3 linked regions of the Mus musculus genome follow. The protein of the gene in region 3 purifies or fractionates together with the protein of the main gene of each other region. This does not show direct contact. Links are inferred from orthologs where the notes say so. Each region holds a gene or a part of one and is shown on either strand. Other genes may lie near its edges.

Region 1 (3,651 bases), on a different chromosome or scaffold from region 3:
TTTTTAGTTTATGTGTACGGTTGTTTTGCGTGCTTGTATGTCTGTACGCCTGAAACTAGAGATATAGATTGTTATGAACCATGTGGGTGCTGGAAACCAAACCTGGGCCCTGTACAAGAGCAGTAATTGCTTTAAATACTGAGCCATCTCTCTAGCCAATGCTTCTTGGTGTTTTGTTTGTTTGTCTGTTTGTTGTGAGACCAAATCTTAGAGCCAAAGTCATCTAGAACATCTCCCTTTACCTCCTCAGTGCTTGGATTGCTTAGGAGAGCCACCATGCCCAGCGCCCAGTTCCCAGTGTTTGCTCTTTGTTAGTTTTTCAAGATAGGGTTTTTCTATGTAACAGCCCTGGCTGTCCTGGAACTCACAGAGATCCATGTGCCTCTGTTCTCCAAGATCTGGATAAAGATGTGTACCACCGTCAAGACAGGATCTCACTATGTAATTTCAGCCAACCTGGAATTCACCATGTAGACCAGACTGGCTTCAAACTCAGAGATCTGCCCACCTCTGCCTCCTGAGTGCTGGGATTAAAGGCATAGGCCACCACCACCACCTGGCTCTAATTGTCTTTTAAATGTGTGTCTTTTTGTGTGCATGGGCGAGCATGCACAGGGACAAGAGGATAACCTCAAGTTCATCCTTAGGAACGTTGCCCACTTTCTTTAAGATAGGGTCTCTCATTAGCCTGGTACTCCCCAATTAAGCTAGGTAACATGGCCAGAGAGACTTGGAGATCCTCTGTACCTTTGAAACACTGCAGTGGCCAGCACCAACATTGTTTGTTTGTTTAATTTTATGTGTGTGAGTGCCCACATTTATGTATGTATGTGTGTCACATGAATGCCTGGTGTCTGCAGAGGTCAGAAGAGAACACCTACAGATTCTCTTGAACTAGAGTTATAGGTAGTTTTCAGTCATAATGTAGGTGCTGGGAACTGATCCCAGGTTCTCTGCCAGAGCAACAATTATTCTCCCCCCAACCTTTTTAAAATTTTTTTCTTTTCTCTCTTTTTTTTAAATTAGATATTTTCTTTATTTACATTTCAAATATTAGCCCCTTTCCTAGTTTCTCCTCCGAAAATCCCCTGTCCCCTCCCCACTCCCCATGCTCCCCAACCCGCCCACTCCCGCTTCCCTGCCCTGGCATTCCTCTACACTGGGGCATAGAACCTTCACAGACCAAGGGCCTCTCCTCCCATTGATGACCGACTAGGCCATCCTCTGCTACATATGCAGCTAGAGCCATGAGTCTCTCCTTTCTTTGATTGGTGGTTTAGTTCCAGGGAGCTCTGGGGGTACTGGTTAGTTCATATTTATGTTCCTCCTAGCAACAATTGCTCTTAACTGCTGAGCCATCTCTTCAGCTCCGTGCCCAGCATTTTTATATAGGTTCTAGGTTATATATATTTTTTTTTTTTTTTTTTTATTATATGTAAGTACACTGTAGCTGTCTTCAGACACACCAGAAGAGGGCGTCAGATCTTGTTACGGATGGTTGTGAGCCACCATGTGGTTGCTGGGATTTGAACTGCAGACCTTCGGAAGAGCAGTCGGGTGCTCTTACTCACTGAGCCATCTCACCAGCCCCCCCAGTTCAATTTTATGTTCTGTTTTATCATGCATACATACATACATACTTACATACATACTTACATACATAAACACATACTTACATGCATACTTACATACATACATACATACATACTTACATACATACATACATACTTACATACTTACACACATACATACATACTTACATACTTACACACATACATACATACATACATACATACATACACACACACATACTTACATACATACTTAAGACAAGATCTCACATAGATGTACCAGCTTCTCCCCCTGAGTGCTGTGATTAGAGGATTGCTCTCTCACGCCTGACCTTCTTTTTCTTACTCTGTGTGTGTGTGTGTGTGTGTGTGTGTGTGTGTGTGTGTGTGTGTGTGTGTGTATTCAGGATTGGGATCCTATGCTTTCCTTCCAGGTTGGGTCCCAGAGATGTAGCTCCGGTCACCAGGCTTGTGTGGCAAGCACTTTCTGCCAAGTCATCCCTCTGGGTCATGTTCATATGTTTTGATAATTAAATGTAAAACAAAGGCAAGCATGGTATAACACATCTGCACTCTCAACACTTTAGGAATCAAAGATCAGGAAATCAAAGTCATTTTCAGTTTCCTTGGAAGTTTAGAGCCAGCCTAAGCTATGTGAAGTTTAGGGCCAGCCTAAGCTATGTGAAGTTGTATCTTAGAACAAAAGTTAAAACAGTATAGTAGTAGGAAATGTTTCCACAAATGTATATAATACTCTATAAAGGCTATTATGCAGCCTTTAAAGTGACAGAATACAGTTAGTTTATAGGGAAATTTAAGTGAGAAAGGGAAGTTAGCATCTACAGCTAGAGCTCCCCAGAAGGTAGAGACAGGAGCCTAGGACTTCTAAGCTCTTCTGGGAGACATAGTGTGACCTCTCTTTCAGGGAGCAAAACAAAACAAATACAAATGTAATATAGTTGTAATTACATTTGAAGAAGTGGTTGGTTATAGCTTACCCTGATGCACAGGTCTCACTTTAGACTTAAGGGAATCCTGCCTCAGTTTCCCATAGTCACCAATGTTAGATTGTCTTCATACGTTTTGGGAAACTTTTTGTGCTCTGTTTTATTTCTTGGTTGACTGGTTTGCTTTTGGTTTTTGAGATGGTCTCACTCTGCTGTTCATACTGAGTCGGACACAAGACCCTCCTGAGTACTGGGATCCCAGGCTTACATCACCACGCCTGGCTTTCGAGTTTTTGTTCCTGTTTTATTGTTGATAGTTTCATGGGTCCAAGAGCCTGTCTGTGCTCGCCAAGTACTCTACCACTGAGCCACCTCTAGCCCTCCTTTACATTTTTATTATGGTACAAGCTCCTGCTACACTGACCAGGCCGGCCTTAGGCTGCACTTCGCTCCCGGCAGTCCATCTCCGTCTCCATCTCACACTGAATCTTTTCTGGCAGCTACGACACGTGGATCCCAGCGAGTGAAATTGAAGCATCTGTGGAGGACGCTCCCACTCCTGAGAAACCGAGGAAGGTGAGCTCTCCTGGTCCCCTCCACCCCACTCAGGACCAGCCTTCTCTGTCAGAGGAGCTGGGACTCTGTAAGAGTTTCTAGACAGAGCCGTGGCTTCTGATAACTCTGACACGGACTGCCCTGTGTGTGCTTCAGGTCCATGCGAAGTGGATCCTCGACACCGACACATTCAACGAGTGGATGAATGAGGAAGACTACGAAGTCAGTGACGACAAAAGCCCAGTCTCCCGCAGGAAGAAGATCTCAGCCAAGACGCTGACAGACGAGGTGAGCTCTGCTCCTCCCTGTCAGAGCTCTTAGCTTACACCTGAGGCAAGCCTTGCTGGGAACTGGAGGGTAAACTGCTGCTCATCCCACGTCCTGTTGTGCAGGTAAACAGCCCAGATTCAGACAGACGAGACAAGAAGGGGGGCAACTATAAGAAGAGGAAGCGCTCTCCCTCTCCTTCACCCACCCCAGAGGCTAAGAAGAAAAACGCTAAGAAAGGGTAAGCTACCTCCTGTGCCCACACGCGCTGTCCTGATGCCATCTCAAAGGAAAGACAATGCTTTTTGAAG
Region 2 (3,651 bases), on a different chromosome or scaffold from region 3:
TACTATGCATGCAGGTATTTATGAGGGTCCATAGTGTTCCTAAGGGTTGCCAGTGTATTGGAGTCTGGTTCTGTCTTCTTTATCTAGTAGAGCTGAGGGTGTGGCTGTGCCTTCCCAGTGTATGGATATTCTTTCCAGGGCTTGAGTCGAATCCTTCTGTCCATTGTTGGCTGTGTGTGGGACAGTGTGGGAGAGCCTGTCCCTGTCGAAAGGACCATGCCCCCACCCCCACCCCCTGCAACCCGGGCACTTTGGCCACAGCCTCTTCAACTGATACCACTTTCCCTGTGGCCCGTCCCCAGATTGTGAGGCACCTCTGAAGAAGGAGGGTGGCCTCCCGGAAGGGCCAGTCCTCGAGGCTCTGCTGTGTGCTGAGACTGGAGAGAAGAAAGTGGAGCTGAAGGAGGAGGAGACCATCATGGACTGTCAGGTAAGGAGCCCCTCCCCGGCTGCAGATGCTCTCACCACTATGCCTTCCTGCTCTGAGATGCCCGGCTCCTCAGGGCCTCTGGGTACCCTATGGCCCCGATCTCCCAGAACACCTCTGCTTGTAGAAGGGTCCCTGACCTGCTCCCCCACCCTACCTGCAGCACATCAGTGCCCCCACCTTCTTGACCCCCCAATCTCCCTTCTACTGGGCCCAGAAACAGCAGTTGCTGGAGTTTCCGCATGATCTCGAGGTAGAAGACTTGGAGGAAGACATTCCCAGGAGGAAGAACAGGGCAAGAGGAAAGGTACCTTCCAGCAGCTTCCCTCCCGCCTCCTCCCCAGAGCCACGTAAAGGAGTAGAGGGCTTTGCACCCATTTTTATGGGTGAGGAAATGGAAACTCAGTGGATTATAAACTTTTTCGAAAATGGAGCTTGTGGATCAGAACTGTCTTGCAGAGCTGGGTGTGGTAGCCCACACTTGTAATCCCAGCACCTGGGAGGCTGAGGCAGGAGAATTGCTACAAGTTTGAGACAAGTGAATTCCAGGCTATTCTGAACTAAATAAAGAGATCGTGTGCAAAAAGAGATTAAAAAAAAAAAATCCTAAACCAAACCAGCTACCCAGACAACAACATCAGCAACACACACAAACACACACACGCACCATGCACACACATACAAACACACTCACATAAACACACACACTTACAAATACACACACATACAAACATGTACACACACATACAAATACATGTGTACAAATATACACTCCACATGTACACATAAACACACATATACATGCACACACACACACACACACACACACACACACACTCACAACCTCTAATAAGAACAATAAAAAGGTGTTGGAACACAGATTTACTCCCAGCACTGGAGAGGCAGAGGCAAGAGGATCTCTGAGTTCAAGGCCAGCCTGATCTATAGAGTGAGTTCGCAGGTAGCTAGGACTGTGTGGAGAGACCCTGTCTCAAAACAACAACAAGAAGAATTATCTTCATAGGTGTACCGAGAGAAATTCAAAGGCTCACCACTAGAAACTGTGCCCAGTTTTAGTGGGGAAGATTTCATTATCGTTGTGTGGTTCTGGCACCCAGAATCTCACACTCACATGACACCTGCTCTGTCACTGAGCCACGCCCCCAGTGCTGAAAAGAAAAACTTTAATTTTTTTCTTCAGTTTGACTTTCAAGTCTAAACGAAGAAGCCCACTAAGGCATGGTAGCACATATCCCATAATTCAGAAGCAGGAGGGCCACTGCATGTTTAAGGCCAGCCTGATCTACAGAGTGAATTCCAGGTCAGGCAGGGCTACATAATGAGACCCTGTCTCAAGCAACAACAGCAACAACGACGACAAACTCAAAAACCCCAAGAATGATGAGCCTTTCTTTCCCTGGCTTTCCAGCTCCTTACTCCTAACCCTCCTCCCTACAGGCATATGGCATTGGAGGTCTCCGCAAACGCCAGGACACCGCATCCCTGGAGGACCGAGACAAGCCGTACGTCTGTGATAGTGAGTTCTGCAGAGGGGAAAGAGAGATGGGGGTTGGGGGGGGGGCAGTGACCTCTCCCTTATGGCCCTCAGCAGAGCAGGTGGTGTGAACCTGGAGGCCAGGGTGGAGGAGGTGGCCCCGGAGTCTGACAATCACCCACTCACTTCCCCTCCAGTCTGTGGGAAGAGATATAAGAACCGGCCAGGACTCAGCTACCATTACACCCACACCCACCTGGCTGAGGAGGAGGGGGAGGAGCACACTGAACGCCACGCCCTGCCTTTCCACCGGAAAAACAACCATAAACGTGAGTTGGAGGGTCAAGGCTGGTGGGTGAGGTGCCAGGGGTGGGGCGGGAGCAATGGAGCCTGGAAATGTCTGCGGACGGGGAGGTGGGGGCACATTTAGACATTTCTGGAAAATCTTCAGCTTAACGGTTCCCTCCTCCACCAACCATAGGGATGCTGGCTCTGGGGTTGTCATGACAACCAACTCTCTCTCTCTCTCTCTCTCTCTCTCTCTCTCTCTCTCTCTCTCTCTCTCCCTCTCCCTCCCCCTCCCTCATTCTCTCTCTCTCTCTCTCTCTCTCTCTCTCTCTCTCTCTCTCTCTCCCTCATTCCCTGCCCGGGCATAATATTTCTGGGTCTGATTTATTGTTTCAATTAGAGCTCTGAGGGGGGTGGTAGATGACTTCCCCACCCCCACCCCAGACCTCCCTCGTCTCCTTCTCTACTATGTTAGGATCCAGGGCAAGGTCGGTGGCCCCCAGGGTCCTTGACACCCACCCATGGCTGTTCCATGCCATGATGACAGCTGAGCCACGGAGGAAGTGGACTATCTCTCACCTGTCCCTCAAAGAGAGCCTCTCCAAAAACCTCAGGCCTGGCCCAGAGCCCTCTGTGCTGTAAAAATGCCCTGATTAGGCTTTGCAGAACTGTCTGCTAATCGTTGGCCTAGGCAAACTTACTTAGGGGTGCCTAAGGGGGTGCCCCCTACATGATGGGGGCAGCCATGGGCTCTTGCTAAGGTTATACCTATCTCTCAGACTTTTACCCAAATAGAACGTATGGTTACCCCAAGAGTTAGGGTTCTGGTGAGAATGGCTTGCCCCTCCCCCAGCTTCCTTGCTACTTCCCAGTGCCTGGGCCAAGGGTCCCGCCCCTGGGGCTGAGGCTGGGGACAGATGGGACCTTGCCTATGGTAAGAGCCCCTTTCTGTCCCCCCACCCCCAGAGTTTTACAAAGAATTGGCCTGGGTCCCCGAGGCACAGAGGAAACACACAGGTAGGGGCACCTCCCTCCTCCCCGACTTCTGCAGCAGTCTTTGACTGGCACGCCTCACCTGTCCTGTGCCCACCGCTGCCTGCTGTCTTTCAGCCAAGAAAGCACCAGATGGCACTGTCATCCCCAATGGCTACTGTGACTTTTGCCTGGGGGGCTCCAAGAAGACTGGGTGTCCCGAGGACCTCATCTCCTGTGCGGACTGTGGGCGATCAGGTGACACTCACCACATATTTTCTGGAAGATGGCGGGGAGAGGGCATCTCAGAATCTGGATTTAGGGAATGGGAGGCAAGGGGAGCGAGGGCTGTACCCCGCCTGTCCTTGGGACTGCCTCTGCTGCCGGGGTCTGTGGGAAACTGAGCGGACTTGCTGGCACAGGAGGAACCAACAGTACGAGGTGCCATGGCTTTGTGCTCTCCCCGGGT
Region 3 (3,651 bases):
TGGGGAGACATATGTGTACCACATCTTATGGGAGATGGTTCTCTCTTTCCACCAAGTAGGTTCCAGGGATCGAACTCGGATCATCAAGCTTGGTGGCAAGCACCTTCACCCACTCAGCCATCTTGGTTGGCCCATGCATGCACTTGTCCTTTTGACCACTCTAAACCTCTAGTACAACAAGGTGGTATGTGGTAGGTCCGTCGAAGTCAAAAAGGAATAGTGGCTTGCTTGAGTTGCTGATGCCCTCAGACTCAGCCCTGTCTCATCCTGGGAAGACAGAGGCAGTAAGTACCCTCAGTTTCAGGGTTACCATTGCTATGATAAACATCCTGACCAAAAAGCAAGTTGATGAGGAAAGGATTTATCTGGCTTATGTTTCCACAAAATAGTTCATCATCCAAGTCAGGGCAGGAGCCTGGAGGCAGGAGCTGATGCAGAGGCCACAGAGAGGTGCTGCTCGCTGGCTTTCTCCCCATGGCTTTCTCAGCCTGCTTTCTTATAGAACACCAGTACACTGCCCACAGTGGACTCGCCCTCCCCCACCAATCTCAGGCTTTCCTACAGTCAAATCTTATGGGGACACTTTCCCAATTGGAGTTCCCTCCTCTCAAATGACTCTAGCCTGTGTCAAATTGACATAAAAGTACCCAGCACATCCCATTTACCCAAACTGACCATGCTAGATCTCCAACCCCTGGCATCTAATCAAGGAGCCTTGTTTCTTTCTGACTCGGCTTCACAAAAACACAATGGAGTTTTGCTGCTGCTTAATGAGCAGAGAAAGGTCCACGGTCCCACTGAGTGTAGTGGCTCGGGACTGTGTAATTCTAGCTCTCCAGAGATGGAGGCAGAGGGATCAGGAGTTCGAGGACGACCTGGGCTACATGAGACCCGGTCTCAACATAAAAAACCAAAAGCGACAACAAAAAACCAAGGATTGAGGATGTAGTTCCGTTGACAGAGTGCTCACATGCCATGCACAAAGCTCTGGGTCCCATCCCTGGTACTGTGTAAGCTGGATGTGGGGGTCCAGGCCTCTAATCCCAGCAGATGAGAGAAGGGCAGGAGAATCAAGTTTAAGTTCATCCGAGGTGTCCCAGGTTCAAGTCTAGAATCCATGAGTCAGAATTCATTTCTTTTCAGGTGAGATCCAGGATGTGGCCTGGTTCCTGGCTTCCTGAAGCATCCCCTCTGACTTCCCTCCTGGTGTCATCGTATGTTAGTGATGTAACCTCGAGCCTTCTGGTTGGTTTTAACCTGTAGAACAGAGTGGGCTGTGCCTGCTTCATGAAGTCTTTGTGGGGATTAGATGAGATAACCTCTGAAGAGTCTTGGCATGCTCACAGCTACGTTATGAAGTCGTCCTAATGTGCCAAGTATTGGATGACAAAGCCCATTTTACAGATGAAGAGCTAAGGCTAAGAGAAGGGAAGTCATCTTGCCCCATTAGCAGCTGATAGCTTCCCGTGCTTGGGCTGACATGAGGGAGGCTTTGTGGGCAGCATCTAAACCTGCTGCCTGGGCAGATTAGAAAGAGCCACATACCTACCTCTGGTCATTTTCATTTTAGTTCATGAACAACCAAGACCAAGGCAGGGGTGACCAAGCATGAAGGCTCGGGGACAAATGTTGGCCTGGCAAGACCGTTCCAGAAGGCCGGGGAAGGGGCCCAGCGGGAGCTGTAGAGGTCACCTGAGCTGCAGTCTGTAGTCCAGAGATTCAGCCGTGTCAGCTTTGGATCACAGTTCCCAGGCCAGGCCCCAGCATCTGCCTCGTCAGACATTAATGCTCATGACAATTTATTATGTCATTTATTAACAGAATTTTCACCATACATGCATCTGGGTCCTGGCCTGGGGGAAATTTAGACTTTCTTGAATGGGGAGAGTGCGTAATTTTCAAGTCGAGCGTTCACAAGAGAATGCTTTTATGTAACTAGCATTCCGGAGTATAGTCAACCGAGATCAGCTGGGCTGTGTGACTGCCTGGCACTCCCTCCAGGTGGAGGGAAAAGAGATGCTAGGAGTTGAAAGTTGGTCCACATCGGATGGGAAGCCCATGCCCGTAAGCCTAGCACTGGGTAGATAGAGGGCTGATGATCAGAAGTTCAAAGTCATTTTCAGTGCTCTGACGAGCAACATAAAATTGTGCCCTAGGGGGCTGAAGAGATGGCTCAGTGGCTAAGAGCACTGACTGCTCTTCCCAAGGTCCTGATTTCAAATCCCAGCAACCATCTGTGATGAGATCTGTCTCTTCTGGAGTACTTGATGACAGCTACAGTGTACTTATATACAATAAATAAATCTTTTGAAAAAATAAAATAAAATTGTGTCCGAAGAAGAAGAAGAAGAAAAAGAAGAAACAACAGATCTGAGGGATCAGTTCCCCAATCTGTACAAATTTTGGTAACAATACCAGGTAGGTAGGTGCCCATCAGTAAGTTATTGATTAAATGCAGTGTCTGGGCATGGTAGTATGCCTGTAGTTTCCAGCTGTTAGGAAGCCAAAGCCAGAGGATTGCTTGAGGTCATGAGTTTGGGGCTAGCCTGGACCACATGGCAAGCAAGACCTTATTTTCAGAACATAATGGTATAAGTGTTAATGCTCTTTCTCCGTGCACATGGGTTTGCAGGGATGGCCTCTGTCCTCAGTTTTACAAGGTTCCACGGGTAGCGTTGCCTACAAAGACGTGTTATTTATTGTTGGAGACAGTCTCGGTATGAAGTCCTGGCTATCCCGAACCCACTAGGTAGAGCATGGTGATCTCAAATTTGCAGTAATCCTCCAGGCTCTGCCCTTAAACGCTAGGATTATGAGTGTGAGCTGCCGAGTTACCGAGTGATTCTGTCAGATGACCGCTTGGGTGTTCTTGGTCTAGAATGGCCGTCTCGTGCTTCCCCGGCAGAGCAGAGGCGATCCAGGAGGTGGTTTCCAAGGGTGAGGCTCCTCCATTGCACTTGGGGTGTGCCGATTTACATATCACCCCTGTGATTCTCCCAAGTGTGAGAAATTCAACTGTGTAATTTCTGGTCATTGGGGACTGTTCATGCTCTCCCCTATAAAAATAAAAAAATAAAATGACTGTACCCCGGGCCCCAGAGCTGTCTCCAACTTAGTGATTAGCTCCACCACCCCATTCATTTCCTCTCATCTCTTCAGCTGTCTCATTGGAGGATTCGGGCTAGGGAGATGGCACTCGCCTCTCCCCAGCAGTTATAGGATGTCAGCCTATGCTCTGTTCCTGTGCAGATGATAACAGCAACCAGAGCTCCATAGCAGACGCCTCCCCCATCAAGCAAGAGAACAGCAGCAACTCCAGCCCTGCCCCAGAGACCAACCCACCCGTGCCCAGCGATGGCACCGAAGCCAAGGCTGATGAGGCGCAGGCCGATGGAAAAGAGCACCCTGGAGCTGAAGGTACTTGCCACCCAGAGACAGGGCGAGGAGGGGCTGCTGCTCAGCCAGCCTGGAGCCAGACAAGCCGCAGGGGTTTTAAGAAGACTTTGCCATGTGCCAAGTCCAGGCCATGACTATAGAAGAGAAGTAAGACCTGCTTTATAGCCACTAAAAAAGGAGAGAAATCAGACAATTGGGCTGGGTTTGAACCCCAACACCACATAAACTGAGCATATTTTATATGCTTGAGATCCT

The links.
Region 1: the proteins of Bcl7a (region 3) and Smarcc2 purify together in Homo sapiens (affinity purification with mass spectrometry; 4 studies listed by BioGRID and IntAct, counting the BioPlex papers as one, with this or other methods). This does not show direct contact. The link is inferred for Mus musculus from reciprocal best matches to the Homo sapiens genes BCL7A and SMARCC2.
Region 2: the proteins of Bcl7a (region 3) and Dpf1 purify together in Homo sapiens (affinity purification with mass spectrometry; 3 studies listed by BioGRID and IntAct, counting the BioPlex papers as one, with this or other methods). This does not show direct contact. The link is inferred for Mus musculus from reciprocal best matches to the Homo sapiens genes BCL7A and DPF1.

The regions. Positions count from the first base shown.
Region 1 is NC_000076.6:128,465,777-128,469,427, forward strand, and holds part of Smarcc2 (SWI/SNF complex subunit SMARCC2), read left to right. Parts: intron 1-3,018; coding exon 3,019-3,094; intron 3,095-3,229; coding exon 3,230-3,361; intron 3,362-3,465; coding exon 3,466-3,581; intron 3,582-3,651. UniProt on the Homo sapiens protein: Involved in transcriptional activation and repression of select genes by chromatin remodeling (alteration of DNA-nucleosome topology).
Region 2 is NC_000073.6:29,310,963-29,314,613, forward strand, and holds part of Dpf1 (zinc finger protein neuro-d4), read left to right. Parts: intron 1-302; coding exon 303-430; intron 431-644; coding exon 645-734; intron 735-1,885; coding exon 1,886-1,964; intron 1,965-2,119; coding exon 2,120-2,251; intron 2,252-3,176; coding exon 3,177-3,227; intron 3,228-3,320; coding exon 3,321-3,440; intron 3,441-3,651. UniProt on the Homo sapiens protein: May have an important role in developing neurons by participating in regulation of cell survival, possibly as a neurospecific transcription factor. Belongs to the neuron-specific chromatin remodeling complex (nBAF complex).
Region 3 is NC_000071.6:123,357,942-123,361,592, forward strand, and holds part of Bcl7a (B-cell CLL/lymphoma 7 protein family member A), read left to right. Parts: intron 1-2,890; exon of another isoform or gene 2,891-3,060; intron 3,061-3,249; coding exon 3,250-3,417; intron 3,418-3,651.